3 linked regions of the Bombyx mori genome follow. The protein of the gene in region 1 interacts with the protein of each later gene in a pairwise test. Links are inferred from orthologs where the notes say so. Each region holds a gene or a part of one and is shown in the gene's direction. Other genes may lie near its edges.

The links.
Region 2: the proteins of Ef-1g (region 1) and delta(3,5)-Delta(2,4)-dienoyl-CoA isomerase, mitochondrial interact in a two-hybrid assay, tested with the Homo sapiens proteins (2 studies listed by BioGRID and IntAct). The link is inferred for Bombyx mori from reciprocal best matches to the Homo sapiens genes EEF1G and ECH1.
Region 3: the proteins of Ef-1g (region 1) and Golgi to ER traffic protein 4 homolog interact in a two-hybrid assay, tested with the Homo sapiens proteins (2 studies listed by BioGRID and IntAct, with this or other methods). The link is inferred for Bombyx mori from reciprocal best matches to the Homo sapiens genes EEF1G and GET4.

What each region holds. Positions count from the first base shown.
Region 1 is NC_085124.1:12,663,412-12,674,741, reverse strand, and holds Ef-1g (elongation factor 1 gamma), read left to right. Parts: upstream 1-5,653; coding exon 5,654-5,665; intron 5,666-5,778; coding exon 5,779-5,928; intron 5,929-6,012; coding exon 6,013-6,079; intron 6,080-6,499; coding exon 6,500-6,642; intron 6,643-7,125; coding exon 7,126-7,266; intron 7,267-7,815; coding exon 7,816-7,989; intron 7,990-8,552; coding exon 8,553-8,686; intron 8,687-9,208; coding exon 9,209-9,378; intron 9,379-9,639; coding exon 9,640-9,782; intron 9,783-10,690; coding exon 10,691-10,828; 3' UTR 10,829-11,141; downstream 11,142-11,330. Other genes in the region: Cnb (calcineurin B), read right to left, coding at 3,236-3,271, 3,522-3,561, 4,088-4,090. UniProt on the Homo sapiens protein: Probably plays a role in anchoring the complex to other cellular components.
Region 2 is NC_085130.1:2,359,077-2,369,933, forward strand, and holds the end of delta(3,5)-Delta(2,4)-dienoyl-CoA isomerase, mitochondrial, read left to right. Parts: coding exon 1-76; intron 77-2,311; coding exon 2,312-2,399; intron 2,400-2,934; coding exon 2,935-3,047; intron 3,048-4,620; coding exon 4,621-4,747; intron 4,748-5,519; coding exon 5,520-5,618; 3' UTR 5,619-8,098; downstream 8,099-10,857. UniProt on the Homo sapiens protein: Isomerization of 3-trans,5-cis-dienoyl-CoA to 2-trans,4-trans-dienoyl-CoA.
Region 3 is NC_085123.1:7,279,468-7,289,551, forward strand, and holds Golgi to ER traffic protein 4 homolog, read left to right. Parts: upstream 1-1,688; 5' UTR 1,689-1,823; coding exon 1,824-1,936; intron 1,937-2,018; coding exon 2,019-2,301; intron 2,302-4,572; coding exon 4,573-4,883; intron 4,884-6,180; coding exon 6,181-6,424; 3' UTR 6,425-6,915; downstream 6,916-10,084. Other genes in the region: uncharacterized protein LOC105841590, read left to right, coding at 9,919-9,996. UniProt on the Homo sapiens protein: As part of a cytosolic protein quality control complex, the BAG6/BAT3 complex, maintains misfolded and hydrophobic patches-containing proteins in a soluble state and participates in their proper delivery to the endoplasmic reticulum or alternatively can promote their sorting to the proteasome where they undergo degradation.

The sequences.
Region 1 (11,330 bases):
GGTACACACGGGTATCTCAGTTTGAGATTTTATAGAGAATTCGCAACTTGATAAATGTATTATAATTAACTAATTTAAATGGAGATGGCTTTTCTTTTTTCTATAGTGTCTCTTTTTGGAGGCGGTGGTTGGAGGTGATTGCAACAATGACTTTCAAAGAATGCCATACGCAAAAACTTATCAACTTTCAAATACTATTTTCATTGGTGTATGATTTGAAGACTGTCTTTACCGTTTCATAAATAAAATAACCACACAATTGACGAATTAAAATCAGTTCCGGGACAAAGAAGTTACGAGCTATTTTACGACAAATTCTATGTCCTTTTCTACATAATCGACGGTAGCCTAAAAAGCTATCCTATTTACGGCCGGTTTGGTCGATGAGCTCACGAGGCTCGACCTGGAAGGACTTGCTAACATTAGCAAGGCTTAGCAAGGGCAGTGCTTCGCTGAATCTACCACCGGATCAGAATCGTGACCCACTTGGAGGATTCGGCGAGAAACTCAGTAGACATTCTATAGCCACAATCACTTTACCCGTAAAGGACTGCGCATACATCTCCATCCCCAGTAATAACATGACACGCAGAGTTTTCCTAAAAATTTAACTTCATCAGAGAATAATAAGATATGACAACAATAAGACAAGACATGGCTTCGGCCTTACGATCAAGAACAATGAAGACGCGGCTTCGGCCTTTAAAACTATAGACCTAGACTAAAGACCTGGCTATATGGACTAAAGTCCTTTGCCTTTCCCATTAGGGATAAATTAATATCATCATCATTTAACTTCATCAACAAACAATATTGAATCATTCTAGTCAACACTGTTTTAACAAATACATCAAGACAACTAACTACCCGCTTTTATCTTTTACCGATTTACATGAAATAATAAACCCGTACTTCTTAAACAAAATCATTCGAATTCAACCAGCACAAAGAAACATATACAACATTCAAAAAGAAGAGAGTTGTCTCATTCCTTATTCATTATACGTGTACCGAGAATGTACCTACTAAATAAATGATGATAATGTGGATATGTACATCAACATCACAACAAATAAATTATCTGATAATCCTACATGAAAAATTTAACCTTTCGATTTTGTACGTATAAGAAGTGTAGGACTTGTCCGATACGAGCATACTAACTGTCTTCTGCAAAGCCATTCCGGTTTGTAGATTAGGATAGGATAGCCGATAGGATGAGATTTCAATGTAACTGATACTTTATCTCGAGGTAGGAGGCAGTATTGATGTTGTGGAGCTTATGGCTAGTGTTCACCACTTCGAATTGTTCGTCTAATAATCCAATTTTTCATCGTTACTAAATTATTTATGACGTCTTTCTAACTATATACATTTTAAGGCTTTTGTTAGTTGCACATGTGTTTATATAACGCACCTTTATGTATTTCAAGGGTAGCCTTATTTTTGTAATATTCGAGTTATAAAATGTATCCAAAAGGGGTTAATTTGTATTTCAACAAAAAAAAAACATAATGATGATTGCAGCAAGCTAGCAATTGGGAACTCCGAGACCTTTAAACAATCGATAGAATATTAATCGTTAACCAAGTTTCCGACGATGTTATTCGATTCGTTTTTAATTAATATATCTCGTTCTAGTGACCATCGATACATCGACTCACCACGCAACTTCTGTTGTTTAAACGTCGGCAAATGCGCGACCATCGACTCGTATTTCAAAATCGATATGTTGTAATCATTATTGACCCTAACTCTATTCTAGAAGACCTCGAACAATCAGCATAATTTAACTACCAAAAGAATGGACTTGAACATTTGTTTATGCGAATCTATTTCCTTAATTGGAACTAGCTTTATCCTTACTGCATATATCAATAATGTAAAATTTCAAGCAATCTAGATGGGTTGGTTAGTGGTCTATTACGGCTGTTCTAATAAACTATACTGTTAGAACAATTAATTATTGAACAAACATTTCTATGTAACATGTGTTTACGAAAGAAGTTCATGATGCACCAGTAACATCCTATAGTGAAATTAAAACCCAAAAAGTATACAGGGTGTCCCACACTTGTTATAATCGTCTCTTCTAAATGCCAAAATTTAAATGAATTATATTTCATAATTTATACATACTATATTTAGGCTTCCTTCCTACATGTGCAGTAATGGTTTTCCTCAAACTAACCTCAATATTCAAATAAAATAAAAATATCAAAAATAACAGTTGCTATTATAAGCTTTGAGAAACTTGACCAATAAAGTATTTATTTAATAATAAAATAAGTTTTCACTGTATTTATATTACCTTTAAAATTTTAAGCTAATCTTTACTAATAATTACACACAGTTAAATATAAACCACCCTTTACTTAAGATGCTAATTTTATCTCAGCCTTTTAGGCAATTCATGGAGCACCCTATATATTTGAGTCATATTATGATGTGTTTTGGGCTATCAGACGTCAGATGCTTCTGATTTGCTTATTTCTGTAGTGAAGCAATGTTTAAAAACAGAACAGGCATTATTTCATTACATAGACCTCAAATGACCAGTGTCTCAAATTGGGCAGCACTATTAAAGTTGTAATGACAATGGTAACGACTTAACATTAGACAGGGCAAAATAATGTCTGCCCAGCTTAGCCATAATAAATCTATACACACAAAGCAACACCTAACATTCGGTACAAATTGCCCAAACAAAGGATAGTACCTGTAATGATACTTTTTAATATTGCTCTTTCACTATGCTTTGTTTGTTTGCAATTTCTTTTCTGTACCCTATGCCACATAAATACACGACATATAGATGTGACATGAATGCTTTAGCGGAATGCATGAATATTTATTTATCCAGAACAATTTTTTTTTACAGAATGAAGAGAAGCAGAAAGCAATAGTATTTTTATATATATGATATAAAGCACAGATGATATAGATACAGATATACATATATTGCACGATAGATATTTAGGAATGCAATTTATGTTATTATTTTAGTTTTAGTTTTTCAGGGCATTTTTTAGTCGCAATCGATTTCTATAACCATTTCAGTTTATTTTTATTGAATACATTTTATTTTACAATCATCTATTATAATAATTTTTCTGAACTATTTCTTTTTCATTTCATTATTGAAACGAACACCAAAAATTGTTCTGGAACAATAATGCGTGTGCAATCTAACATGGAGATGGATATTATACGCGAGTGACTCTACAACACTCACAGTTTTCCACCTTAAAATCAATGCAGTTAACACGCGCTGAAACACAAACTTTCTGTTATGTCTTATTTAAATGCCCTATTACCATTTAAACTAACCATTGTTAGAATTTTCATGCATTATCTATAGTTTTTAAACTGTGATATTTTTTAATACTTTTTTTATCTCTACAATTTTATTTTATTTTCTTTATAAAGTTGAAGAAATGCAACTGTTAAGCTATGATTATATATTGTATCATATTGAAATAAAAAACGTATAGAAGAAATTAATTTAATTTATTACTTACAGTTTGAACATAGTTCCATGGGAATAGAGTTTTCGTTACCCTGAAAATGGTTACACATTTTATAAATACTTTATTTATGATTAATATAATCAATAGCGTAATAGTAAAGTGTTTTTTGTTAGTTTAAGATTTTAAACTAGTTCAAAACTTTGTTTTTGTCATCAAATTTTAAGATTCAACTTTTATAGTTCACATCTAGACTATTAAGAATTAATATATATAATGTTACTGAATATTTTGGTAGTTTACCTTTTTAGTTAATTTGCAGATCAATGATAAAAAGAATAACAAAGGAAATGAAAATTTATTTACTACCCAGAATTTTAGTATTGTGACAACCCACTGCATTTTCCATAATAGAATTAAAAACTAATTTCGAAGTGCAAACCTTTTATTCTTGTATCAATTTTCGCAGTCAAGTAGATAACCATATGACTCTAAGGTCTAAATTAAAAAAATCATATCATATAGACCGGTTTTTTTTCCAGGCATTGGGCTAAACTCTTAAAAATTTGTGACTAGCTACAGAACGTTAATCGAGTAAATAACAATGTTTTGCCACTTACCATTCTAAAGTTTTACTACACCACACTCAATCAGAGATAAATGTGCGTCTGACTGTTTGTAATCACAAACTGATTCCGATAAAATTAAATCAGAAGCAACAAAAATACCACAGCAGATTCACAGTTACCTACCATCGATGACCATCGATCTAAATTACGCACGGATTGTATTGTTGCCATGAATTGTATGAAGCTGCTCAAGGGAGGACCATTAAAATGAATTAGGTCAATATTTCATAGGTTCAATAATCAATCCAAAAAGTTCATTAGAAGTAATACTAATATATAAATTCATTTCCGTATGTTTTAATTTTATGGGTCTCGATATATATTTAGTCTATTGTAAATTCGTTAATAATAGTCAGGAGAACGTGAGTAGCGCCACCTACCTTGAGATATATTGTTTTGTACAATTGTATCAGCTACCTATAAGAAATAAGTTAAAACTAAATTTAGAGCAGAACTATCTACACAAATCTGTATTAGTTCCAAATTCAAAAGCTAGATTAGGCTAGACTCTTGAGCTTCAACTATTTTCTTCTGTTCTGCAAAAAACATTAGTAATAGTGGTAAAACAACTACGATTGCATTAAAAGAATCAGTAGCAGTGAAATGTAAAAGTTAATACACGGTTAATGTTTCAAAAAAATCATGAAATATTCAGTTCCAATAAAGTTACTAATACTTAAAGTGTATAAGCTCGTCCATGATAGTATTAGACAAATAGCGTTTTTAATCATTTAAATTGTGATGTGGCCATATTACGAGGTTTAACAGAAAAGTTAGCTAATACTTTATTCGATAAACTACTTTAGTCCACTTAAAAGAAGAACACAGCAACATAAATCATTCAATTCTCCTAGCAAAAACTAATTGCAGAAGTTGACTTTGTTCTATAAAATCATTCATTTAATTGCTCGCTTAGGAAGAAGCTAACCCACAAAATGAGCCACTGATCAGCATGGATGACATAAGACGTGCTGCTAGCATCACACAAATAAACTTCGCAGGTCAGACGATATTAAATTGTTGTCAAATATTAATTTGTGCCCAAGACATGGCCATAATAAATGTGTTTCAATCCTTCACGTCAGCTTGAAGACTTTTGAAAGATACAAAGACAGCCAGACACAGACATTCTCATTCAGCGTTTTGTTACAATGATAAAGAGCTACACAAGACTATATTCTTTAACATACGGTGTTTCTGATCGAGTGATGTATAGACTAGCTGTACGGACCGTGAGAGAGAATTAATAATATAACGTCCCGTGGTATTGGTAGTTTCATTAGCCCGAAAATAAGGACCTAAACTACAGTATGTACAGTCACTTGGAAATAGGCTTTTGGTTGCAAGGCATTTCCAATATTAGTCTAATTCTAATCTAATTAAAGAAAGAAAAAGGGATTTTTTTAATAAACTAAAAAATTGATTAACAGATAACCGTGTGTATGCAATTTTCACTTAATTTCTATTTCAGCTGTCACAGAATGTCAATGTCAAAGGGCAAAATCCTCCCTCGCCAATATTTCCTCGGCCCCCCTTCTCTTTCCGAAAACTCCAACCATGGCGGCCGGGGTAGGTGTAATTTACCTTGAAATATCTTGTTAATCCAGTCATTGATAGAAAACTTATTAATAAAACCCAATGATAATGAAAGTATTAATAATATTACGCATTTATTTTTTCAGGTACTTTACACTTATCCGGAAAACTTCCGCGCTTATAAAGCGTTGATCGCCGCACAATATTCCGGGACTGATGTGAAAGTAGCACCGAATTTCGTATTTGGCGAGACCAACAAGTCCGAAGACTTCTTGAAGAAGTTTCCTGCCGGAAAAGTGAGTTTAAACCGGCGTATTGTGCATAGTAATATTTCGGCATATGTTGAGTGTTGTGACGTGTAATATCGGTGTATATTTTAGGTGCCTGCATTCGAAAGTGCCGATGGAAAGGTGCTTCTAACTGAAAGCAATGCCATCGCTTACTACGGTGAGTTTTTTTATTTTCAAATACACCTACAAAACTAACTTAAATAAATCTAACCTAACTAACTAGAAGAATACCTAATAAACCAAAGTTAAAAAAAGATAAGGTTGTAAATACCTCTTGCGAAGTTATTTCAAATAAATTTAACTATATAATTCGTCGATGGTACAAGTATGAAAGCGTTTTTCTACTTAATCTGATTTAAAAACTCATAAAATCGACGAATCATGACTTTTCCTTGATGAAACAATACTCATAATTTCCGTTAAATATAATTATAGAGGACACTCACAAATCACTAATAATATTTAATTATTGCATAATATTTTATAATCCCAATCATACACCCTTTCACTTCAAGTAGTATCAGAAGTTAAAAGAAAAATACAACATTTAACTTGAATTAAAAAAGGAACTTTACAGTTGCCAATGAAAGTCTCCGCGGAGGAGATCTGGCTACCCAAGCCCGTGTCTGGCAGTGGGCATCATGGTCTGACAGCGAACTACTGCCTGCTTCCTGCGCTTGGGTCTTCCCTTACCTTGGTATCATGCAATTCAACAAACAGGTAATTGAAGAATTTGTGATATTAAAATATATATGTGTTAGTCTACTGATATAAGTGATTACATAAAAATATATGAATATTATCATTATTCAGAATTAAACTTTTTTTTTGCTTAGATATATGGCTCACGGCCCTACCTGATGTTAAGTGGTTATCGGACCCCATAGATATCTACAACGTAAATGCTGCCACCCACCTTGAGACATGAGTTGTAAGGTCTCACTCTTAACTGTACAACGGTTGCCCTGCCTTTCAAACCGAAACTCATTACTGCTTCAGGGCAGAAATAGGCAGGGTGGTGGTACCTACTCGTGCAGACTCACAAGACTTCCTACCATCAATAAAAATTTAGTAATATTAAACATAGGATCTTGTACGTTTTCTCTAATTTATTATATTGTCATGGTGCTTAATAAGCTACTCAATATTACAATTATAAGCCACAAACTACTGGCAACTGATATAAGGATTAAATAATTCCAGAATGTTGAACGTGCAAAGTCTGACCTACTGGCCGCCTTAAAAGTACTGGACGGACATCTTCTCACACGCACCTTCCTTGTTACCGAGAGAATCACACTTGCCGATGTCATTGTCTTCAGTACACTGCTGCATGCTTTCCAGGTGAGGATAAGGAAGTTATCCTATGAACTACTGAAAACTTTCTTTTAAGATTTGAATTGATTTTCTTCACCACTTGGAGTAAGCACAGTTAATAAAGTGATACTTCAGAGAATCATTAAACAATACATTACTAAATACATAAAAGTGTTTGTAAAGCAAATAGGAGAACAATAAAAAAGCATAAGACTAAAAAAAGCAAATTGTTATCGAAAATTAAATAGTACCTTAATAATAATAATGAATTTTTTTTTTATTGCTTAGATGGGTGGACGAGCTCACAGCCCACCTGGTGTTAAGTGGTTACTTGAGCGTATAGACAACGTAAATGCGACACCCACCTTGAGATATAAGTTCTAAGGTCTCAAGTATAGCTACACAACGGCTGCCCCACCCTTCAACCCAAAACACATTACTGCTTCACGGCAGAAATAGGCGCGGTGGTGTTACCTACCCGCGCGGACTCACATGGTCCTCCCACCAGTTTTTCAAGAAAGCAAGTCACAATCGATTGGGTTTGAATAGAATGCCATAAAAGCTATTTTACTTCAGCACGTGCTAGACCCGAGCGTCCGTTCGTCGCTGATAAACGTTCAGCGTTGGTTCCTGACCGTCGCCCACCAGCCGCAAGTGTCGGCCGTCGTCGGCTCGCTCACGCTCTGTGCGGCTCCTCCTACATACGACCCTAAAAAGTACCAGGAGTTAGCTGGTGCACAGAACAAGAAGGTACTGTAACTGTTACAGTTTTTTTATCAAAAAATATAATTTAATTATGTTTGTTCAAATTTTAATAGTAATAAGAAAGCAATTATCGAATAAGAACAGCTAAACAGCATTACATATCGTCTTTCCGCATTAAAAGTGTACAATTTCCAAAAATATTCGAAATTGAGTTAATATGCGGAATCATTTGGTATCACCAGTATTTTTCTCAAAATACCGTCAAGAGATCGTAGTTTAGTTTAACTTTTTAGTTTACCTATGTTACTACTATTAATAAAATTAATACATAATTTTAGCTTGCCTTTAAAAGGCAGATAATGTAACTGCTAAAAAATAAAAAATAAATGTTGCAAAGATGATTAATATTAAAAATATCACATGTTAAACCTTAGTAATAACCATATAACCATAAAATTAGTAAGTTTTGAGATTATACAGTTTTATTACGGGAATGCTATGCCAAGGAAATTTTGTTACTTGCAATATATACCATTAAAAATATACTTTTGAATATAGATAGAAAAAAATGTTGCTTAAACTAAAACTTCCCAAAATTGAATTAATAGGAGGGCAAAAAAGATAAGAAGTGTGAAAAGAAAGAGCAACCCAAGAAGAAGGAGGAAGTTGTTCCTGACCTTGAAGAGGAGGAGCTTGAAAAGCCTAAGGAGTCCAAGGACCCCTTCGACTCTATGCCTAAAGGGTAAATAACTGTTATTCACTGAAATGAAAAACAATTCACAAACAAGCAAGCCCTGTTGTTTGATTGTTTAGTGAAAGTGCTTATATACCATGTGTTCTGGTTCATTTTCCAGACTGACCTTTTTTTCTGAAAGATATTTGGTATGTGCATGATCTGATTTTTTATGTATTTTTTGTACTTGAAAAAATCCCAGTTGTGGTTCTTTGAATGTTAAATGAAAGTTTTGGTTTAGTTGGTCATTCAAGAAGGAATCCGTAGTATATAATAAGGGTTTCGGTTAGCCATTAAAATAGTCAGTTCATGAAACTCACATATTGATTAGTATGTTTGCTTAGTCTTGTAATTCAGTTAATTAAAGAAATAAAAATAATAGTTGTGACTAAGAGGGAGGGAATCCCCTTCCAAAGTTTCTGAACGACACTAAAAATATTAATACAGTCAAGGTGTTAAAAATGATACCTTCATTAGAACAATTAACATTTAATAAAAGAGATATCAAACTTTGTTACATTTTTATTTCAGTACCTTCAACATGGATGATTTCAAGCGTGTCTACTCCAACGAAGACGAAGCTAAATCTATTCCTTACTTCTGGGAGAAGTTTGACCCCGAGAACTATTCCATTTGGTATGCTGAATACAAATACCCCGAGGAACTCGCTAAAGTGTTCATGAGCTGTAACCTTATTACGGGTAAGTTTTTTTTTTAATACTTATACAGGTGAATGAGCTCATTACTAGTGCATTTATGGAATAGACAGGATGGTACTACTGAATTGCATTGACACACCTCTCAGAATAATTTTATAAATTGTACGAGTTTTCTTTTATCATAGAATGTCCCTATTGATCATCAAGGGTCTATGAGGATAAAACAAGCAGAAATTGCATAGCAGCCCAGAACTTACAAGTGGACTTTTATGTTTTTACATATAATTTTCGTCTATTCACCAGGTATGTTCCAGAGGTTAGACAAAATGCGCAAACAGGCTTTCGCATCCGTCTGCCTGTTTGGTGAAGACAACAATTCCACCATCTCTGGAGTGTGGGTGTGGCGCGGAAAGGAGCTCGTGTTCCCGCTGTCGTCTGATTGGCAGGTTTGTATACAAATGACATAGTTGCAAAGTAGCATAAAAGCAACCGTGCTGACCGATACAATATATATATATATATATATATATAATGTACTAGCTGACCCTGCAAACTTCGTAGTGCCTGAACCGATATTATAAAAGACCTAAACTTCTGTATAAACTTAAAACAACAAAAGGAATCTGATGGACAGGGGACACATCAATGGAAAAATAAAATTGTTATTTTTGTTTAATTCCGAGCATTTGCATATTTATCTACTTTTTAAACCTTCTCTGGACTTTCACAAATAATTCAAGACCAAAATTAGCCAAATCTGTCCAGCTGTTCTTGAGTTTTAACGAGACTAACGAACAGCAATTCATTTAGTAGTGTAGTTTACCATTCTAAAAGCCAAAAAGTTAATAATATTCATAGGAAAACAAAATTGATTCACAAAACTTAGTTAATTGCTCTTTTAGTAAGTTTATATTTTGAGTGCAATATGTGTAATGATGAGGGGTATCTGATGAGAATTGCTGCCCTGACTAATGTTTAATGGTGTGTGTGTGCATGCAGGGTAGACAACAATAGTGCAGTTACAGTATTTTTCAACAGACATGGCTTTAGAAATAATGTCATTTGTGTGTATTGATTTTATATCGCCGGGCATTTAAAATTAACATTATTATATTCACCCCCACAAAGATTCTCATCTTAACGCCCCCACAACTGCTGTAGAGAATCCAACACTCATATAAATATTATCCTATCCATTAAGTACATGTATTTTCTACATGGATACCAAGTTTCAAGTCAATCGGATGCATGGTTTAGTAGTTATAACGGAACATCCGTAAAAACCACTGTAGATTTATATATTAGTATAGATAACAACCAATCTACAGAAACTAATGAAATAATCGTTTTACAGGTGGACTACGAGTCCTACGACTGGAAGAAACTGGATCCTTCGAGCGAGGAGACCAAGAAACTTGTCCAGGACTACTTCTCGTGGAACGGAACCGACAAAGACGGTAGAAAGTTCAACCAGGGCAAGATATTCAAGTGAATGCCGACCAACGTCCAGCCAATGTATACACATTTCATACAATAACTATAAAAAACTTTACAAAAAAGAAACATTCAAATGTAAATAGGTGGATGTTGGCAATTTTCGGAACTGTCCTCAATTTATACAATTTTTATTAAAACATCAGTAATAAATGATTTTCAATCGCCGTGTAGTGCAGTGCCGAAAACGACGCGGCGTTGCATGAAAAAATGATAATACTTGCATTTATTCAGTGTCGTTCCCGTGATCGATATCTCATCTCAACAAGTCAAATGTGTAATTAAACATGTTTTTTTTATTTATGAGTAAACGGTGGTTTTATTTCTCCTGCCTTAAAATTTATCCTTAGCTTTATTTGTTAGGAAAAGAAACGTGCCGTCCAGTAAGTGCGGAGTGTCGTGAACTGTACGCTTTATGTGTGACAAACAGCGCATTGGTTTTGTCTGTTTATTGGACAAATTGGAAATTGAAACATAAAGACAAAAAAAAATGTTTTTTG
Region 2 (10,857 bases), on another chromosome or scaffold:
TCAAACCAGTGTTGACCGTGGTGCACAACGCCTGTATCGGCGCCGGAGTAGACCTGGTCACCGCCTGCGACATCAGGTACTTGGAGTGGGCAGACATTTTCCTATTTGCTTATAGCATTTTCATTTCTCAGTCCACCAGCATCACTGCTGCTAATATTCCCCCGATCCACTAACGGTGCTTTCAGATACCTCAAGCACCGGTCACCGTTCTCGTCGAATCCTTCGCTTGCGACGAAGGGCTCGACGAGTAAGTTAACCCACAGACACAGCCCACTGCGTTTCTCGCCGGATCTTCTCAGTGGGTCGCGTTTCTGATGCGGTGGTAGATTCTGCTAAGCACGGCTCTTGCTAGGGTTCGTGTTAGCAACGTCGTCAGGTTTGAGCCCCATGAGCTCACCTACTAGTTAAAGTTACGCTGAAATAACCCATCAAGGCTCTCAGATCAGTAGAAAAAAAAAATCAGCGTAACCGGGCGAGGGTAACGGTTATCTTTCCTTTATTTTTTGGCTCCGGCACGGTTTGTGCATTAGCCAGCGTCAAGTAATAAGATTTTTATAATTCGCCGTTTTAATTATTCACAATTTAATAAACGAAGAAAACTAATCGCGACATTACATAAATTATTAAAACGAATTAAATTTCCAAATGAAATGATATGTGATGAAATATAATCTCAGTAAAATGGTGGTCGTTTACAGAGACTTTTTCGGTGGACATTTGGGAGGATCCCGAGAAGCAACGTTCAGCGGCTTTGTTGTATTTTCCCACATTTGTGCACTTTCACAGATTCTAAGCAATTAATAATATCTGTGAAAGTCCACAAATGTGGGAAAATTAAACAAAGCCGCTGGACGTAACATCCCGGGATCCTCCAAAAAGTCTACTGAAAAGATCTCAGTAAATGACCACCATTTTACTAAGATTATATTTCATTCCATATCATCTCATCTCATAATTTTTGCTTCACGTACATTATTATTTATTGTCATTATTTAATAACAATAAATAATGGGAATAACTTAATGAGAGTCCAACACTCATATAAATATTTGCCTATCCATTAAGTACATGTATGTATGTATGTATGTATTATCTACATGGATACCAAGTTTCAAGTCAATCGGATGCATGGTTCAGTAGTTACAACGGAACATCCGTAAAAACCACTGTAGATTTATATATTAGTACTAGCTGACCCGGCAAACGTTGTGTTGCCTTAAATAAGATTTCTAGGGTAATTCTACTGTAGAAAAAAATCCTCATTTAACAACATAATACCTCATTATAAACAAAAAATATATATCCAAAAAATTAAAATAAAAAATAAATGTTTGGGGTGGACAACCCCTTTCACTTAGGGGTATGAAAAATAGATAGTAGCCGATTCTCAGACCTATTAACATACTATTGATACACAAATAAAATCAAAAAAACATGGCTGAAAAAGGTATAGTATTGTATAGCTCTAATGATAATCTATGATGTATAGTGAGTAAGTAAGAGGAGACCGGCTTCGTCCTCATCCCTACTACGTGATGTTTGCTGGATGAGTGGTGACACCTGGCGGGGATAGCTGATCGATTGATAGTTGATCAGAAGTGGACCGGCGAGGGCGGGAGATCAAATTCAATTTAAAAAAAATCATAATTAAAGGAACTTGAAATTATAAACTCTGAATAAGAATTTATCGTACTACAATTATAATATTTGATTGCCATCTTGCAACCTTATTGCGGATCTGTGCATAGAATAAAAAAAATATTAATCGGGATGGAAAAATAGGGGTTGATCGTATAAGAGTGAAAATTGAGAGTAATATGATTTTTTTTATTTTAAGTCATGACAAAACAAAATAAAGACTTGCCAAAAAAATTAAAGTTTATAATTAACAAATAAAAAATAGGGGTTGATCGTAGAGGGGTGAAAATTTCAGAGTAATATTAATTTTTTTATTCTACGCCATGACAAAATAAAAACAAAATTCTCGCAAAAAAAATTTAAAGTTTTTAATTAGCAAATAAAAAATAAGGGTTGATCGTAGAGGGATGAAAATTTAGGGTTGTATGTATTTTTGTATGCTGTATCATAAAAAAACAGAAATTAAAAATTTTGTCTAAAAAATAAAAAATAAAATTTAGGGGTGGGCTACCCCTAACATTTAGGGGGATGAAAAATAGATGTTGGCCGATTCTCATAGATACCGGATAAGCACAAAAAATTTCATCAAAATCGGTCAAGCCGTTTCGGAGGAGTATGGCAACGAAAACTGTGACACGAGAATTTTATATATTAGATAGATTTGAATTTTCAGGTATTGCTCCCAGGACGCGTGGTTTCAAGTCAAGGAAGTGGATGTTGGCTTGGCGGCCGATGTTGGAACCCTGCAAAGGCTCCCGAAGGTACATTAGCTTCGATAAATACAAGTAGCTTCATTACGATCTAAAAATAATAATAAAGGTAGTTTTAAAAAAAACTATAAAAATTCACTTATAGATGAACCGAACTTTTTTATTTCTTAGGTGGATGGACGATCTCACTGCCCACCTGGTGTTAAGTGGTTACCGGAGCCCATAGACATCTATAACGTAAATGCCGTCACCTTGAGATATGAGTTCTAAGGTCTCAGTGTCTGCGAACCGAAACGCATTACTGCTTCACGGCAGAAATAGGCAGGGTGGTGGTACCTACCCGTGCGGACTCACAAGATGTCCTTCCACCAGTAAACTTTCTCTACATTAAACGGCCAATCCCAATACCGGTCCCATGCCCGGATAAGTTTTCCAAGAAAGCCTCATGAGGCCACGACTCTTAGCATTGAGGATTATTGACGCGAGGAGGAAGGAGGAAGACACTAAACAGCTATTTCGTAGTTAACCACTTAATAATATATAGATGACGGAACAAAATTTTAAACACGGTAACATTTTCATTCAGGTAATTGGCAACACGTCGATAGCGCGAGAACTTTGCTACACCGGCCGAAAGTTCGACGCCAGGGAAGCGAGTGAAATAGGCTTCGTCAGTAAAGTGTTCCCCGATAAAGACACGTAAGTGCTTTTTTTAATAAGGACGCTTATACATAATAACGCGTTTAGGGTGCTGGTGGTGCTGCCCCGCTTTTGTAGCGCATCAGGGATGTTTGCAGACGCGCACATAGATTGTTTTTACGCTACCATGCGTAAGAGGTGTGTATCTCTGGTAAGCAGAGTGAGGGCCAGCTCCAACAGTATCCTGAGCATGATCGCAAGCAGGCTGGACTGTGTATACATGGGTCGCTGTGGTGCCATCTCCCATGGGATGTTACGACAGTAATTCATTGTGATGTAAATATAACTACTAACATAGGTCTAAGTCTTATTAACAATTTATATGAGTCATGGTTACTTGCAATAAAAACATTATTATTATTATTAATCTGTTATTTTAAAAATCAATTATACGTAACGTCAATTATGTTAGTGGATAAATTATTTTAATACGATTATATTGGTAAACAATTGAGATCTATAAATGTCACGTCGATGGTCGTGGGTTCGATTCACACGTCAGGCAAACATTCGTGTGATGAACACATTTGTTTAATATTTGTCGCAGTGTTCATTGTTTATATATGTATTTATTTAAAAATATATAAGTGCGTATGTCCCTCACTGGTACCAATAAAACAGGGGAATCCTAATTTGGGGCCAAAATTAACAAAATAAAACATATCACTCCTAGGGTTCCCGCTAAACACCAAACCGCATTTGAATTTATTGTAATCTCATAGATCAAATGTATTGTCTATGATTCTAAAACACAGATTACTAAGTACTTTTTGGCGGGAACGCGAGAAGTGAAGTTGTGTGATTTGTTTTATTTTGTCTAGTTAGTGTTTCTTCAGGCTTAAATGTGTAATAACTAACGGTGGTTTATTAATTGTTTACTATCTGTGAAAGTGCACAAATGTGGGAAAATGAAACAAAGCCGCTGGACATAACTTCGCGGGATCCTCCAAAAAGTCCACTGAAAAAATCTCAGTAAATGACCACCATTTTACTGAGATTATATTATTTCATCCCATATCATCTTATTTCATTTCATTTCATCCCAGTTGATTAATGTCTCAAATTAATCATCTTCTTTTCATTTCTCTCCATATTATCATTTTTCATAAAAATACGAATATAAATTAAAATAAGACATACCTAAATGTCTTAGTTACCAGGTCATAAAATCCCAAAGAAAAAACAGATTACTAAGTCGCGCTTAATTAACTAAAGCGATATTGTATTTTTATTTATTTATTGCTTAGATGGGTAGACGAGCTCACAGTCCACCTGGTGTTAAGTGGTTACTGGAGCCCATAGACATCTACTACGTAAATGCGCCATCCACCTTGAGATATAAGTTCTAAGATCTCAATATAGTTACAACGGCTGCCCCACCCTTCAAACCGAAACGCATTACTACTTCACGGTAGAAATAGGCAGGGAGGAAGTACCAACCCGTGCGGACTCAGAAGAAGTCCTACCACCGGTAAAAAATATATTTTCTCACCAGTAGTATATTTTGTCCGTATATAAAAAAAAAACGCCTTATCGAAACGAAAGTTCGTATAATCTGTGGTTATTATTTTAGTGCCCTCAGTCACGCGCTGCAGGTAGCCGAAGACGTCGCATCGAAAAGTCCGGTCGCAGTTCAAACGACGAAACAAAGTCTCGTCTACTCGCAGAGCAGACCAAACAGTGATGGCCTCGAGCATATTGTAAGTGTGAATTAACTGTTGTAAATCGATAAAAAGCTTCGAAAAAAAGCCCGCTGAGTTTGTTTCGCCGGTTCTTCTCAGGACTGTGGCTTTTTTTGGAACCGGTGGTAGAGTTAACATTTTCTTTTACATTTTGACATTCAACAAGTGTGTTTTTGATGACATCCAAGTTGAAATAAATGATTTTGAATTTGAATTTGATAATGAAAGTGAAACTTGGCTGTATGAGCCGTGTACCCTTTGATTGGGTGAACGTTACAAAAAAAAACAACTCCAGTCGAAGTCAATTATGCATCGTTAAGGATAACTCTAAAACTATTCGTTACATACCTACTAGATCTTGGTGAAATAAAAATTTAAATAAAACATTAATTATTAGAATCAGTTCACCTATATAAAAAACGCACATAAAAAATATAGTAGAATTCAGAGCCTCCTCATTTTATAAGTCGGTTAACAGAACCGAACATATACGCTCTATTCACTTAATTGTGTTTTAAGCTCTGGCAATATTGGAATCGCAACAAGACGACTGCCATACTGAAAATTTAGAAGAAAAATCTATGCTTTAGTATTGTGGATTAACGCACTCTTTTAACATACATAATTATCTGAGTTTTTTGAAATGGCCATAGACAATTCTCATAAGCTGCCACACGACCTCAAACTAGAATTCCCTGTGCTTTAAAAACCAGTAACGGAAACATAGCAGTAACGCACCAGTCAGGGGTGCCAACTGTCTGTCAAAAAAAAAATCATTTTCGTTTCACAGCGCTTGCTTAATTCCGTGATGAATCAAGGCGAGGATCTACCCAAAGCGGCCGTCGCTCAGGCCACGAAGAGCCCGCCGCCGGACTACGAGAACCTGTAGACACTAACAATGCTCCACGGCTTCAAGGATCTTAAACCCTTTGCCTGTCGTGTAGGTCACCGGTGCCCTACGCGGCGCACTGAAGTAACTATGTCGATATCTGTTGGGATCCAAGGGGAAGTTTGTAGAGTTCCAAAAGAGGTATATATTACTCGTGGTAGGACCTCTTGTGAGTGCGCGCGGGTGGGTACCACCACCCTGGCTATTTCTGCCGCGAAGCAGTAATGCGTTTCGGTTTGAAGGGTGGAGCAGCCGTTGTAACTATACTGAGACCTTAGAACTTATATTTCAAGATGGGTGGCGCATTTACGTTTTACATGTTTATGGGCTCTGGTAACCACTTAACACCAGGTGGGCTGTGAGCTCGTTCAACTAATTAAGCAATAAATATATAAAAAAGGTCACCTGTGCCCTACGCGGCGCACTAAAGTAATTCTTTTGTTTGTTAATATATGTTTTAGTCCTCTTACAAATAGATTCATTCTCAGTATCTCTCGGATTCGTCTTTCCCGGAGTCTACTAGATATTCCAGCGCCTTAGTAAGAAGTTGAAGAGATAAATCGATATAGATACTTCAGTGCGCCGCGTAGGGCACCGGTGACCTACACGACAGGCAAAGGATTAAGATTGCTTAGCGTCCCATAAACGATATCGTGTCGAAGTATTTCACTCAATCGAATTCTTCCATTTTACAAATGACAATTAGATATTGTATATATAATATATAAAATATACGATCCTATACATCTTTGAAGGCGCTGTAAAAAAAAAACAGTTATTTCATAAGAACTAAACAGACAAAGGTAACGATTTAATTTTTTACTAATAAGTGATTAATAGTGTAAGGGTAAAATGTGTTATTGAAGAAATATTTATCGTGCCTTATAATATACTTTTAGGATGATTTGTTAGTACTATTGGTTGTCTATACTAATATTATAAAGAGGAAAGATTTGTTTGTTTGTTTGTTTCGAATAGGCTCCGAAACTACTGGACCGATTTGAAAAATTCTTTTTCCATTAGAAGCCGACATTGTCCCTGATGAACATAGGCTACTTTTTTTTATTTTATTTTTATTTTTTATTTTTTGGTTTCATGTGTGTTTTAATGTTTCCGAAGCGAAGCGAGGGCGGGTCGCTAGTATTTTATACTTCTATAATCACAAATTTCGCCAAGACTACACTATAAAAAATATTAACAAAGACAAACAATATTTAATCTCAATTTGACAACAGACGTCAAGAACAAAAGTTTGACAATAAATAGTATGCATGCGTGTGTGCGTCAAATACATGGTATGTAGTGTGTGTAATGTTTTCCTTATTGATTTAATGTATCTTTTATGCATTATTTAAAAAAATTATTAGCATTGCGCACTTCTCTATATTCTCTATAAGTGTGGAAAATTTCATACTCTGTCCGCGCAATTTTCGTAAAAAGGGATACAAAGTTTTTGCTTCACGTATTAATATATAGATATATACCCTCCTATAGCGCGGTAGGTATGCTCCTAACAAGTCCCGTGTTGTGTGGAACCGCGTTATAGTCCTTTTCAAATAAGAATGTGCACGTCAATGACCTTGATCTGTCAAAGTTCGATAAAAAAGTACGGATAGCAACAAAAAAAATGTTATCTTCTTTTTTTAATTGAATTTTATGCCTTATTATGAAGACTATTAATATGTTTGCTTAATGAATCATACAGATCTATATAATTTGCTTGAAATGTTGAGTACTGGTCGAGGTAAATTAAACATGAATATAGATTATATAAAAAAAACTACCACCTATTTAAAAAACAACGCTGCAACACTGCCGGACCCTATAATGATTATAGTATAATGCGACGATGATGATGATTATTCAAGCAGTGGGATGAGTGGAATCGGCAAACGCGAAAATTTGGATTATAAATAAATATTTAAAAATTCCTACTTTTTTTACCGACTTTACCTATTTTTTTCGATTTGACAGTTATGACGTCACAATATGGCGCAAATCCATGCACATTCTTAATTGAAACTCATTTTATATGAGACTAGAAGCCAGTACAAAATGGAGAGCAATTTTTCTAAATGAAATGTCTCAACTATGCCTGTATGTATTTGTTGCGTTATTTTGATTAAGCGTGGACTGTATTTTTTGTATGAAATATTTATTAAACCTTTATATTTACAAATTAACGACTTAATATATGAGAATTATAAAATTGACGCGTTACTTTTGGCGGCTGGATTTGTAAGAGGATTTGGTGTCATGGCGGAAGTCGCTCGCTGTCATTTTGACGTTCAGAAACTGAACAATATTTCATTACGTGTTAATCATCATAGAAAATAAGCAGTAAAATTTCGGTTATTCCCTTAATATTGTATGATCATAAGTATTTTTGGGTATTAATTATTTATAACCTCTGTCATATTTAATTTTAGATATGTTTTATTAAGCTGTTATGAAATTAAATGGTTATTAAAAAAAAACAATTATTTTATTTTCTAGTGTTAAAAAAACCCGTTTTTTTTTCTTCGTTGGTAGCCTTTTTTTTTACTGCTTAGATAGGTGGACGAGCTCACAGCCCACCTGGTGTAAGTGGTTACTGGAGCCCATAGACATCCAAAACGTAAATGCGCCACCCACCTTGAGATATAAGTTCTAAGTTCTCAAGTACAGTTACAACGGCTGCCCCACCCTTCAGACCGAAACGCATTACTGCTTCACGGCAGAAATAAGCGGGGTGGTGGTACCTACCCATGCGGACTCACAAGAGGTCCTACCACGGCCGTCTGGTGTAGTGGTAAGTGACATGGTCACTACACAAGGGGGTCGCGGGTTCGAATCCCGCCAAGGGAAGATATTTGTATGATAAATATAAATGTCTTTCCAGGGTTATGGGTGTATATTAAAATATATGTATGTGTATAATAAAAATATTATATTTATTTCCGTTATCTGGTACTTGTAACACAAGTTCTTTACGAACTTAGCACGGGACCAGTTAACGTGGCGTGATTGTTAGTAAATATTTATATATTATATTATTTATATTACCACCAGTAACAGTTAACAGCCTAATACAGCTACGCCCAGACGGGTAGGGGAGCTCACGAGTGCGAGTTTTTTAACGTTCTCGATCGCGTAAACGTTAAAACAAATTTGTATGGAGTTCAAAAGTTTGCCTACGTTAGCCACCAGAGGCGCTGTTCCAACTGCATTCAAATTTGAGTTAACTTTTACGCTATCAAACATTCCCGATCCTGCGGACAGAATTGAAAGCAGTCGACGTCGCCCAAAACACCTTATTTCGGATCCTCCCGATCCACTAACGGTGCTTTTAGGTAACTCAAGCACCGGTCATCGTTCTCGTCGAACCCGTCGTTTGCGACGAAGGGCTCGACGAGTAAATTAACCCATAGACACAGCCCACTGAGAGCCGGATCTTCTCAGAGGGTCGCAGTTCCGATCCGGTGGTAGATTCTGCGAAGCACTGCTCTTTTTAGGGCCAGTGTTAGCAACGTCGTCAGGTTTGAGCCCCGTGAGCTCACCTACTAGTTCAGATTACGCTGAAATAGCCTCTCAAGGCAATCAGGTTAGGTAGGAAAAAAAACGCTGTCAAAAGCGTTAAAAAAACTAGCACTAAATACACTGATGGGGCTGCTTCGATTCCCCACCGCATCGTGCAAGCTTGCGGAGGCGCATACAGACGATTTCTATGCAATAATAAGAAAACGATGCCCGTCCTTGCTCTCCAGGGTAGGGGGCTTGCTCCAACAGCGTCCTGGCCATATTTTCGATATAAGATAGACCTTTTCTCAATAATTATAGAGAAGACCACAAATTTTGCTCGTAATGGTCAACTGTTGAAATTGCAATGTATTTTTTTATTGCTTAGATGGGTGGACGAGCTCACAGCCCACATGGTTGTTAAGTGGTTACTGGAGCCCATAGACGTCTACAACTTAAATGCGCCACCCACCTTGAGGTATAAGTTCTAAGGTCTCGGTATAGTTACAACGGTTGCCCCACCCTTCGAACCAAAACGCATTACTGCTTCACGGCAGAAATATGCAGGGTGGTGGTACCTACCCGTACGGACTCAAAAGAGGTCCTACCACCAGTAATAATAAATAAATGTATGCTGTTCCTTTCTTTTCTTACTACATTCTTACTATTCAAGAAACCACTGTTACTAACATTAACATAGATTAATATTATGTGAAATAAATAAATTTAATAATAACAATAATTTCCAGAGAACTTAAAGTACCTAATCTAAATTGAGCCTTATCGATGTTCTCCGAGCGCTACACTTCACGGTCCTCATTAAAACAGTTCTGGAAAGGGGCCCTGACATACCCCATGTTAGCTCATGGAATAAGTGGATCGCTAGTTCTTCAGAAATCATTCACAAAAGCAAACGTGTTTGAGAGCTGAATAAAACGTAAAAAACTAATCTCGGAATAAACATAGTAGTATCTTTAAAAAAAAACGAATTATTCGAACTGATATTTGAATTATTAATTCTATATAAATGATTTATTCTTCTCTTGAAAATATTTATTTAGTACGCACACACCTATCCGCCATTCACTCCGCCGATGACGTCACAGGGTAAACGCGAATTTACCTCCTTTGTCTATCTATTCATTTAAAAAAAGAAGACATTATTGTTATAAAAAAAATAACACACTGAAAACATTTTTTTCTGACTTACATTAGAGATTTTGAGGGTAAATAAAACTTGCATTATGAATGACCAGGAAAGGTCAATGAACTTGCATCTCTTTGTAGAAACAGAATTAATTATTAAACTATAATTTTTATTGATATATATGTGTATCCATATTATGTACGGATTTACGTAATCTTTGTTTATTTATGTCTCAATTTTAATTAGTTTATACATTAATTTTATATACCTACTCCGAACTCAAAAACGAAAAGTTTTCGATTCTGATTGAGTAATATTCCTTATGGTAATAAACTGAAAAGTAAATTTTTGATTATTTAAAAAATTATAATTAATATTTAAAAATAATAGGCCATTTCAAGAATTTCTGCTACCAATAAAAAACAGTTAGCTTCAATGATAACCTCTTGTTCAAATAGATTTAATTTTAGTTTCCATTACTTAAATTTAATCATCATAATACTACAATACAGTCATTTCAATCAATCAAATCAAACATTTTCTAGTTTTACCAAAACAACGTTAAAAGATTTTTTTATCAAAAATGTCAATAGG
Region 3 (10,084 bases), on another chromosome or scaffold:
AATCTTATCCTTTATGAATACTACTTAAACTTTTTAAATACTTTACTTTTATCGTTATGACGTATTTAAAATTTTTATAATACCACTACCAATGCCAATGTTTTAGCCTGTGACAGTGATAGCCGCGACAGCGAGACACTTTGTATACATAATGTACAAATGGTAAGGGTAATAAATCGTGTTCAATTTTTTTATTGCTTAAATGGGTGGACAAGCTCGCGGCCCATCTGGGGTTAAGTGCTTACTGAAGCCTATAGATATCTACAAACATAAATGCTTCCACCAACATGAGACACGAGTTCTGAGACGGTATTCGAATCCCACAGGCTGGTACCAATTTTTCTAATGAAATATACTTAACAAATGTTCACGATTGACTTCCACGGTGAAGGATTAACATCGTGTAATAACAATCAAACCCACAAAATTATAATTTGCGTAATTACTGGTGGTAGGACCTCTAGTGAGTCCGCACGGGTAGGTACCACCACCCTGCCGATTTCTGCCGTGAAGCAGTAATGCGTTTCGGTTTGAAGGGTGGAGCAGCCGTTGTAGCCATATATCGTAAGTAGGTAGTTATTGTAGTAAGTTAGGAAATTACCAAGCAAAACATATTAAGCCGTGTACTACATAAGATACAATAGTGTTTATAAATGTTACTTTTGGAAAACTCGCCCAACTCGTTCACACAATAGTGAGGGCGCCGAGCGTCTCTCCCTGCGCAGCACCACGTGTCTGCCTGTCCTACAAAGCGACTGACGACAACGGACGAATAAACGAATCAGCTGGAACAGCGCAGACTTTGAGTCCTGCAAAAGCTGAGACTGAAACTCTCCATTATTGGGGCGCCCAAGGTTGCCGCCTGTTTTGGTGCAGGTTGTATGGGCACCATCAGCGATCTTTATCGAGCATCCATGTATAGCCGGGTCTCCAAGAGACACTCCATGTATAGCCGAGTCTCCACCACCGCAAAAAAAAAATGCGTTCTACTGACAAATTAAAATTAAAAAAAATACAAGACAAATCACATGGTATGCTATAAAATTTTTTAAACATTCATTAAAGGGAACAGGCTCGGAGTACTTATATGGACTGATTCTACTATTCCAAAGCTCAAATTATCTTGCCGGCAGCGGGACCTGACAGAGTGCGCTTTTTGAGCTGCAGTCGGGCTAGGGATCTCACCCGAATCCTGGCCTCCAACGTGTTTCGGGCCCCCTTTGTACGCTGGCTTAAAGACCGGTAAAGTAAAGAGCAACTAGGAGACGGCTCTCCTGGCCCACTTTAGTTTTAGCCTAGCCACACTAGCCTTATTTGGTATCTTGGGAGTACGAGTTGGGGATGCTGTCTAGGTGAGCTTCGAACAATTCACTGAAAGAGAGGCTTGGCGATCATGGAACCGCTTCAACGCCAACTGGGGTACGTACTTACGCGTACAAAATATTTCTATGATGAAATAATCTTTTCAGATACGGAATAAAAACAAAACCATCAAAACTTTATAATTTCACATGGTTCCTTGAGTTCTTAAAAAACCATTGTATTCGAAGAAAATGTAAATTAATTGACCGGTTAATTAAGTTAATTTATTCCACCTTTCACTCAATAAATAGAAAATACTTGGCTGAATAGGCTGTTCTCTTTTTACCTCGCATTTTTCGCTCAATCCAAACAAAAAATAACTTGACAGTAGTGTGAGTGACAGTACCATAGATTATACACTTAATATGACAGTACCATTGTCATCTATTTTATTGGTAAATTGGTTGTGATCACGAAATCGGAAGAAAACAGAATAATCTGGAAATTGTAATAAAAATATCATGGCCACGCGTGGAGAAAGAGGAGTTGTTAGGGTATTAGATAAGTTAGAAGCTTCAATTAATTCTGGCCAGTATTATGAAGCACATCAAATGTACAGAACTCTTTATTTTAGGTACCTATAATGTAAATCTGCAATATATATTTTTAATGGTGTTTTATAGTAATTTTTCAAAAGATTTCATATTTTATTCCAGATACCTAACTCAGAAAAAATATCCAGAATTGTTAACTTTATTGTACAAAGGGTCTACACTTCTTTTGGAACGCGATCAACAAGGAAGTGGAGCTGATCTCGCCATACTCTTCGTAGAAGTTTTAACAAAATCGGAAACCAAACCTAATGAAGAATGGGTCTCGAAATTGGCAAAATTATTTGAATTAATCAGCTCCAGTGTCCCAGAGCGAGAAACCTTTCTAACAAATTCAATAAAATGGTCAATGGATAACAACAAAAAAGGTGACCCACTCCTACACAAGGTACAGTACTAATTTGTAGAATAGTTCATTCTTAAATGATATTTTGACACTCTTATTCGAAAATATCATAGCCCATTTTTCTAATTAATATTTATGACAAATGAAATCAACTCGTAGGTAGTGTGTTTTTGTGTGTTTGTATACACTATGAAGCAATGGAACAGTGTTCATGGCTAAATCATACAGAGATAAATTTTTCAAGACTTCCAAGATGAATGAATAATATCTTATAATAAAAATCAAACCTGGAACACTTGCATAATTACTATTGGTAGGAAGTTAGATATCATAATTTTGCTTACTTTTGCTGTGAAACAGTCATGCATTCCAGTTTAAAAGGAGGAACAGCCATAAGATTGTTTATCAACCTTAGCAATAAAAATTGTTGCAATGCTGTTCATATTATTGATTAATATGAGGTTGAGGTTGGTTTGACAAGTTTCTGACCTTAACCATTTTCAATCATGAAAATAGCAGAACTCATCAAAAAATGCTTGTGAATGTAGTTAACTGTCTATCTTTTGGCCATTACTCACCAAAATTTCATCCATTTTGAACATGTTTTGTACTTGTTACTTAAGAGTTGTTGGAGTGAGTTGATGTAACACACTCACTTATTTATGAAAATGGAAAAAATAAGTATTGAGCTATCAGTTGGCAATTATAATCTATAGTTAAAACATACTCTGTACTGTTATGATTCAGCAATTTTTTACTTTGTATGGTTAACCATATGAAGACAAATAATCATAATAATGAAAATATTTGTTTAATGATAGTAAAGATCTAACACCAATATTTGATTTAGAAGTGCTAAAAGATATTGCAAAAGACAACTTTGATTATAATTCGGTCACTTCAAGTCATGGTTCTGAAATTATAATACCAAAGAGATCATTGATGAGATTTAGTGAAATCGAAAGCGAAGATTAGTTGGAAGACTTGATGAAGGGTGCAATGTCACAGAAGCATTTGATTTCTGGATAGAATACATGTTAGGGCATTGCCAAAGGTCACTGTGAAAATGTACCTGAGTTGCTGGTAAGAAGTGGTACAAAAAGTACAGAGCACTGTTGGTTAAAAGGCAATACACCTATGCCAAGATGAATTGGACTACGTGTATGGGAACTCTACACCATAATTAACTAATGAAATTTTGGGCCACTGAGTTTAAATGAATGATAATTGATTTCCATGAAAGCTTGGGACATGATGCACATTGGGGACATCCAAAAAGAGCAACTATTGACAATAACATCCCTAAAATCATCAAATGGTGCTAGACAACCCCTGAATTAAAGTGAGAGAACATAGATAGTAGAGGCTATGAAAATGTCCATATGTTTTGTTCATATGAATTAGTGATGAGAAAAATAGCTGTCTGCACGTTGAGTGTCATGTATGGTCACAAAAACAAAAAAACGTGTTTGAATGTTTCCAATTCTGTTGGTGCAGTTTAGGTTTAGCAATAAATCAGAGTTTTGGTGCCAATTAATTTACTATAGATGAAACATGGATATACCATTATACATCCGAAAAACAGTGGACTGCAAAGGGGGAACCAGCTAAAAAAAAGTAAAAATTATTTTTTCCGTTGGGAAAGTGATGGTGACCGTTTTTTGGGATAGTCATAGAGTTATCTTAATCAATTTCATTAAAAAATTAAAACCATTACAGGAGCGTACTACGCATCAATACTTGACAAATAAAAAATAAAAAAAATGGTCATTTGTGCAGAAAAAGAAAATCCTATGGTGAAGACAACATGCCGTCTCAGACCTCCGTGGTTACCATAGCAAAAATCCACGAATTGCACTTTGAACTGCTGACCATCCTTATCTTGACTTTACTCAGCAAATCTAGCTCCAAGTTACTTCTTTTTGTTTCCTCATCAAAAAATTGCGCTCGGAGGACAGTTTTTTGTTATAATTATGTGGAGACAATTAATTACCTTCATGAATAATTATTTTATAGAGAAAAACGGCGTCTATTGTTTGGAAAGGATAGAGATATGCGAGCATCATTGGATGAAGAATTACAAGGCGACTTGTTGAGGCGAATATGAAAAAAAATAAAAACAAACATAAAAAAAGTCTTGTATCTGTGTTAGGTCGGAAAGTTTTCAGACCCCACTCATAAAAAACCTAAACCTTTGAATTTGTTAAAAGTGTTTATATATTTATTAGTCTAGAAAAATATTATGTGTTTATGAATTGCTAAAGATCATAGAATTAATTTTAACTAACGGACGCAAATTGTAATTGATTTTAGAAAATAGCAGAAGTATTTTGGAAGGAAAAAAAGTACACAGCTGCTCATAGACACTTTTTACACTCATCGGATGGTTCAGCATATGCTAACATGCTTATAGAGTTACACACAACTAAAGGTCTCAAATCAGAAATAGATTTGTTCATAGCACAAGCTGTGTTGCAAATACTTTGTTTGAGAAATGTAAGAATGGCAACTGAAACATTTTTGAGGTATACAGAAACACATCCCAAAATTAAGAATAGCAAAGGACCTCCATATATATTCCCACTATTGAATTTTTTGTGGTTCTTGCTGAGAGCTGTCGAACAGTAAGTTAATTTTCTTTTTATGTCATCCATAAACAGAATCTTATACATTGTGCTTAGTACGAGTTTTTTAACGTTCCCCATAGCGTAAAAGCTAACTCAAATTTGTATGGAATTGGAGCGTTTGCCTATATTTGCCGCTAGGGGCGCTGTTCCAACTGCATACAAATTTGAGTTAACTTTTACGCTATCGAGACGGTAAAAAACTTGCACTAAGCACACTGATATATGTAAGATAACTATTTCTGAAAACTTTTTGACTAAATAGAAATTTAATTATGATTTTGCACAGGAACGTAAAGTAAAAGTAAAAATCATATTATAATGCATGATGTCTATGTTTATGAATTCTGCGGGGGTTTCCACCATCTGCCTTTCCTTCTGATTGCAGGTTTATCACCTAGTATTATGTAAAAAAACGATTAGGGGGCGTCCATTAATTACGTGAGGTGTTCTAGGGGAGATGGGATCAAACTAAATCTCAATTAGGATGGAGGAGGGGGTCTTAGCGAATATCTCACTTTTTAGCAGAAAACGGTGTAAAATTGCCTGAACAATTATTTTTAGAATAAAATATGGCCAAATCAGACACCGATTTTTTTCTACCTGACACAATAGCGTTTCTCGTATTCGTCAGAACCTCACAGAGCAGGAAAGTACCGCTCGATTGTGCACTGTCGACCAGCTGTATTGACACGTGCGACTCGACGAACGCTATTTAATTTTATGATTGTTATGTTAAATTACGGTAATATTCACAAATGCTAGTCTTTGTTAGTCTTCAATGAAAGTAATAGAACAAGTAGCTATTTTTTTTCTCAATCCTATACATTTACAGCCAAAACATAAGTTTTGAAGAATCTCGTGTAAGATTAGGGGTGAGGGGAGGGAGTGGAGGAAAATCTTATGAAGTCTCACCAAGGTGGGAGGGAGGGTCGAAAGATTCACAAAACTACCTCACGTGATTAATGGACGTCCCTTTAGTAATATAGGTAGGCTATATAAAATAGTAATAATTTTATATCTATTACATTACAAAATAGCACAATTCAATTCATTTATTTGCAGATAACCTTAAAAATTAAATAATAAATCCAAGAATTCTTTGTTCACGATAGATCTTATAAAATTATATCTTGAAACAAAAAAATGATTTTATCGTGGTAAACAATTTTTTTGAAGAATTTGGTGAATTTCATAATATATTTAGCCAGTCAAAATAGCAAAATACGACTAGAAATATTAAGTATTTTAAGTTAAATAATCAATACAGTTTTTTTTAATATGTATTTAATTTCAGGAGACATGTACGACAGTTTATGGTACTAAAGAATTGGTATGCAATTAGCATTAAAAGGGATCCAAACTACTCCATTTTTTTAGACAATATAGGCCGCATTTGGTTTGGAATAGAAATACCTTCGGAAAATAGAAATCCAAACTCTATGTTCGGAGGTCTAATAAAATCTATTATTGGTGATATAGATAGTTCTGATGATGATGGTGAAAGCAAGACGTCGGCCACAGCTCCTGATTTGGACTAAGCTCTTAATTAACAGATTAATTATATTATTTTTTTACTGACATATCAGCTCAGTCAACCTTTGATAATATATTTTTATTAATTTCTAATATAATTTTGTAATTTCATAAGAAAGCTCTTTTATATTATTTTAAACTTAACTTGGAATTATTACCATTGATTTAAGAAATGGACTGTGTTTGTCATTTTATTTTTAATTAAGATGCCAATTAATTTTAATATTAATGGGGAAATTTCATAATCATTTAAGAATTTTGGTTGAGCTGCAGTAATCATGTTAGGAATAAAAAGTTGTAAAGGGTATGAAAAAAATTAAAAGTTTTGTGGTGTACCTATGTCAAGAGTGCAGTAATGTTTTAGCAACATAATTAAATTTATGGTGAATATAATTACATGTTTAGGATTTCAAATTGTTTTTCATAACGTTGCTTTTTAATTAAGTAATATATTTTGAACAGTGTTGTAAAATTAAATTTTAGATGTTGTTATGAAGTTTTATTCACATTAATTGGAATTATATTTCACAAAGTACCCACATCTCCACAATCGATATAGGTAATGTTTACTCCTGATTATGTGGGTCCGTGAGAGAAGAGGTCTCTCTTCCTAGTGGTTTCCTTCCCTATCTCTTGCTAGGTGAAGGTAGATTCATAAGGGCCGAGTCACACCGGAATAGCAGCGTCCGACATCAGCTGGCGGCGATGCCAGCGGCCTCCGGCGTCGCCGCTGGCGGCCTCGCGCGGCCTCCAGACTGCATGCGCCTAGTCTCCTCTTGACTAGATTAGTTTCTTCATTCGGCAATGATCGTGTAATAAAAATGAAACCCGCAAAATTATAATTTGTGTAAATTACTGGTGGTAGGACCTCTTGTGAGCCCGCGCAGGTAAGTACCACCGCCCTGCCTATTTCTGCCGTGAAGCAGTAATGCGTTTCGGTTTGAAGGGTGGGGCAGCCATTGTAACTATATTTGAGACCTTAGAACTTATATCTCAAGGTGGGTGGCGCATTTAGGTTGTGGATGTCTATGGGGTCCAGTAACCACTTAACACCAGGTGGACTGCGAGCTCGTCCACCCATATAAACAATAAAAAAAAAAAAAACGTATGTTTAGAGTGAACATGATGGAATTGGTTATTATATATGACCGCGGTGCCGCGAGCGGCCTCGTGTCGCCGCTAGCAGCCGCGGGCAGAACCACAGACAAGACGGACGTGGCGCGCGGCTGTGTCGCGACCTTTTGGAGCTTTGCAAGCGATACTGGTCTTATAAGTATATATAGATAAAGTTGGATGGGTTGACCAACTCAAGGAGGTGACTGGAGGCCAGATATGGGGAGCAGTACATATGGCGCAGAACCGGACCGAGTGGAGAAGATTGACATACAGTCACGATCCTCAGCATTGAGGGAACGACCAGAAAGAAGATAAAGTTTAAAATTATTTCACACGGAAAGTGCTCGCCGCGACGTTGCCATTCCGGTGTGACTCGGCCCTAACACCGGTCACTCACATGCGAACGAATACGCAAACCCGCAAGTGTAGGACGACATTTGCAAATGATTATGCAAAGTTTTCGCTGCATTCGTGGTTTTCCAAGGTGTGTCGGTTTTTTAACAGACATTAAAGCGCGCGAACCGCGATCCTTCGCGTAGTCTCCTACACATTCGTTTGCCCAGTTGCGCCAACGATTGCGAAGGTAACGGACGTATCGCCATTTTCATAGTTCGTGACGTCTACTGTGTAGCGTAACTTCATCAAAAGAAATCCCATAAAAACAGCATGAGTGGAGCATGTGAGTGGCCGGCATAAAAGTCGCATGTGAGTGGCCGGCATAAAAGTCGATTAAAGACTTTCATGACTATCTCTGACTATAATGATAGTTGTGCATCATGTTTATGGTCGTCGAGGGTGGCCACATATATTATTCATTTAGAGTATTTTCATGCGTTAATGAGTATAGACTAATGCCGGCCTAGCGGCTGTGCAAATGGGTTCGCATACTCAATTTGCGAACCCGTTTGCGCTTCCTCCTACACTTGTTTACGAATGTCTCACGAATTTCTCCTTTTTAATTCGTCAATAGAACATTGAAGAGAAAAAGTTTTTAATTCTTTCCCAGACATCATTAACAGCCATGCTGTTTTTATGGGATTTCTTTTGATGAAGATACGCTACACAGTAGACGTCACGAACTATGAAAATGGCGTATAGTATACGTCCGTTACCTTCGCAATCGTCGGCGCAACTGGGCAAGCGAATGTGTGGGAGACTACGTGAAGGTTCGAGGTTCGCGCGCTTTGATGTCTGTTAAACCGACACAGCTTGGAAAACCACGAATGCAGCGAAAACTTTGCATAATCATTCGCAAATGTCGTCCTACACTTGTGGGTTGCGTATTCGTGCGCATGTGAGTGACCGGTGTAAGTATGGGTTTCCTTCCCTATCCTTTACTAGGTGAAGATAGATTCACAAAAGTCGATTGTAGACTTCCATGACTATCTCTGTCTATAATGATAGGTGTGCATCATGTTTGTGTTTGTCGACGATGGCAACATATATTATTCTTTTAGAGTATTTTCATGCGTTAATTTCCCAGAATATAGCACACATGGTAATTTTCTATCCGATCGTTGGTAGCCTAAGTGCCTATTCCAACTATGCGCGGGTTTTTTTAGGTGAGCTCATGGGGCTCAACCTGGGAGGACTTGCTAACACTAGCTCTAGCAAGAGTAGTACTAGTAGTAGTAGTAGTGCTTCACTGAATCTACCTCGCCAAGGTTTCAAACGATCCATGAAATCAAAAACTTTGAAAAAAAAAGAGCTGTCTTTTGTATACAGTCAACTGAAAGGTAGGTATTTAGGAGCCGCATCTCAAAGATGGGCGCAGAATTATTTTTCTAGTAACTCTGCTCTATTGCTGACTCAGCGGCTAGATGCTAATTTGATATCACTTTCAATGACTCCAGTAGGGGCGCCGCGAAATGCGAATATCATTACCAATCAGGATGCGTATGTGGTGCATACGGAAACGGCATCCAGCAGCATGGTCCGCAGTTGCATCACCACTTTCCCCCCATGTAAGGCCTTTAAAACATTTCACAGAATCGACTGAGTAGTTTCTATTACAGTGACTCCAACAGGATGCTAAGATACTGCCAAATACGTCCCAAACCTGATTCATATACTGACAAAAAATATAAAGGTAATTTTCAGGTTATGAAAAAAGTTATGAAAATTATTTATCAATTAAACAGCAGAACTCATGTGCACAATGGTTTATGGGATAGATCGAAATATAAAACAATTATTTACACCAAGTAAAATGGTTTACATATATACATTGTATATCACAGAAATATGTTTACATCTTGATATTTTTAGTACCCAGTAAGGTGCGTTGGGGTAAGTTCGGCGCTGGGGTAAGTACGTAGAAATCAAATTTTCAATCTATTCGACCATAATTTTTAATGCTCGCCACATTGCGTGCCACGCCGTTATGTTCCACCCCGTCCGCAGTGGCCGCCAATGGCTCCAACAAGTCGGACGTGTACTACGCGTACTTAGAGAAAACAAGGTAAATTTTATAAAATATTGTCTATCCGGTCTTTCACCTTCATTTTTATTTGCATATATTAGCAGAAATATGGCTCTTTTTGTTATAT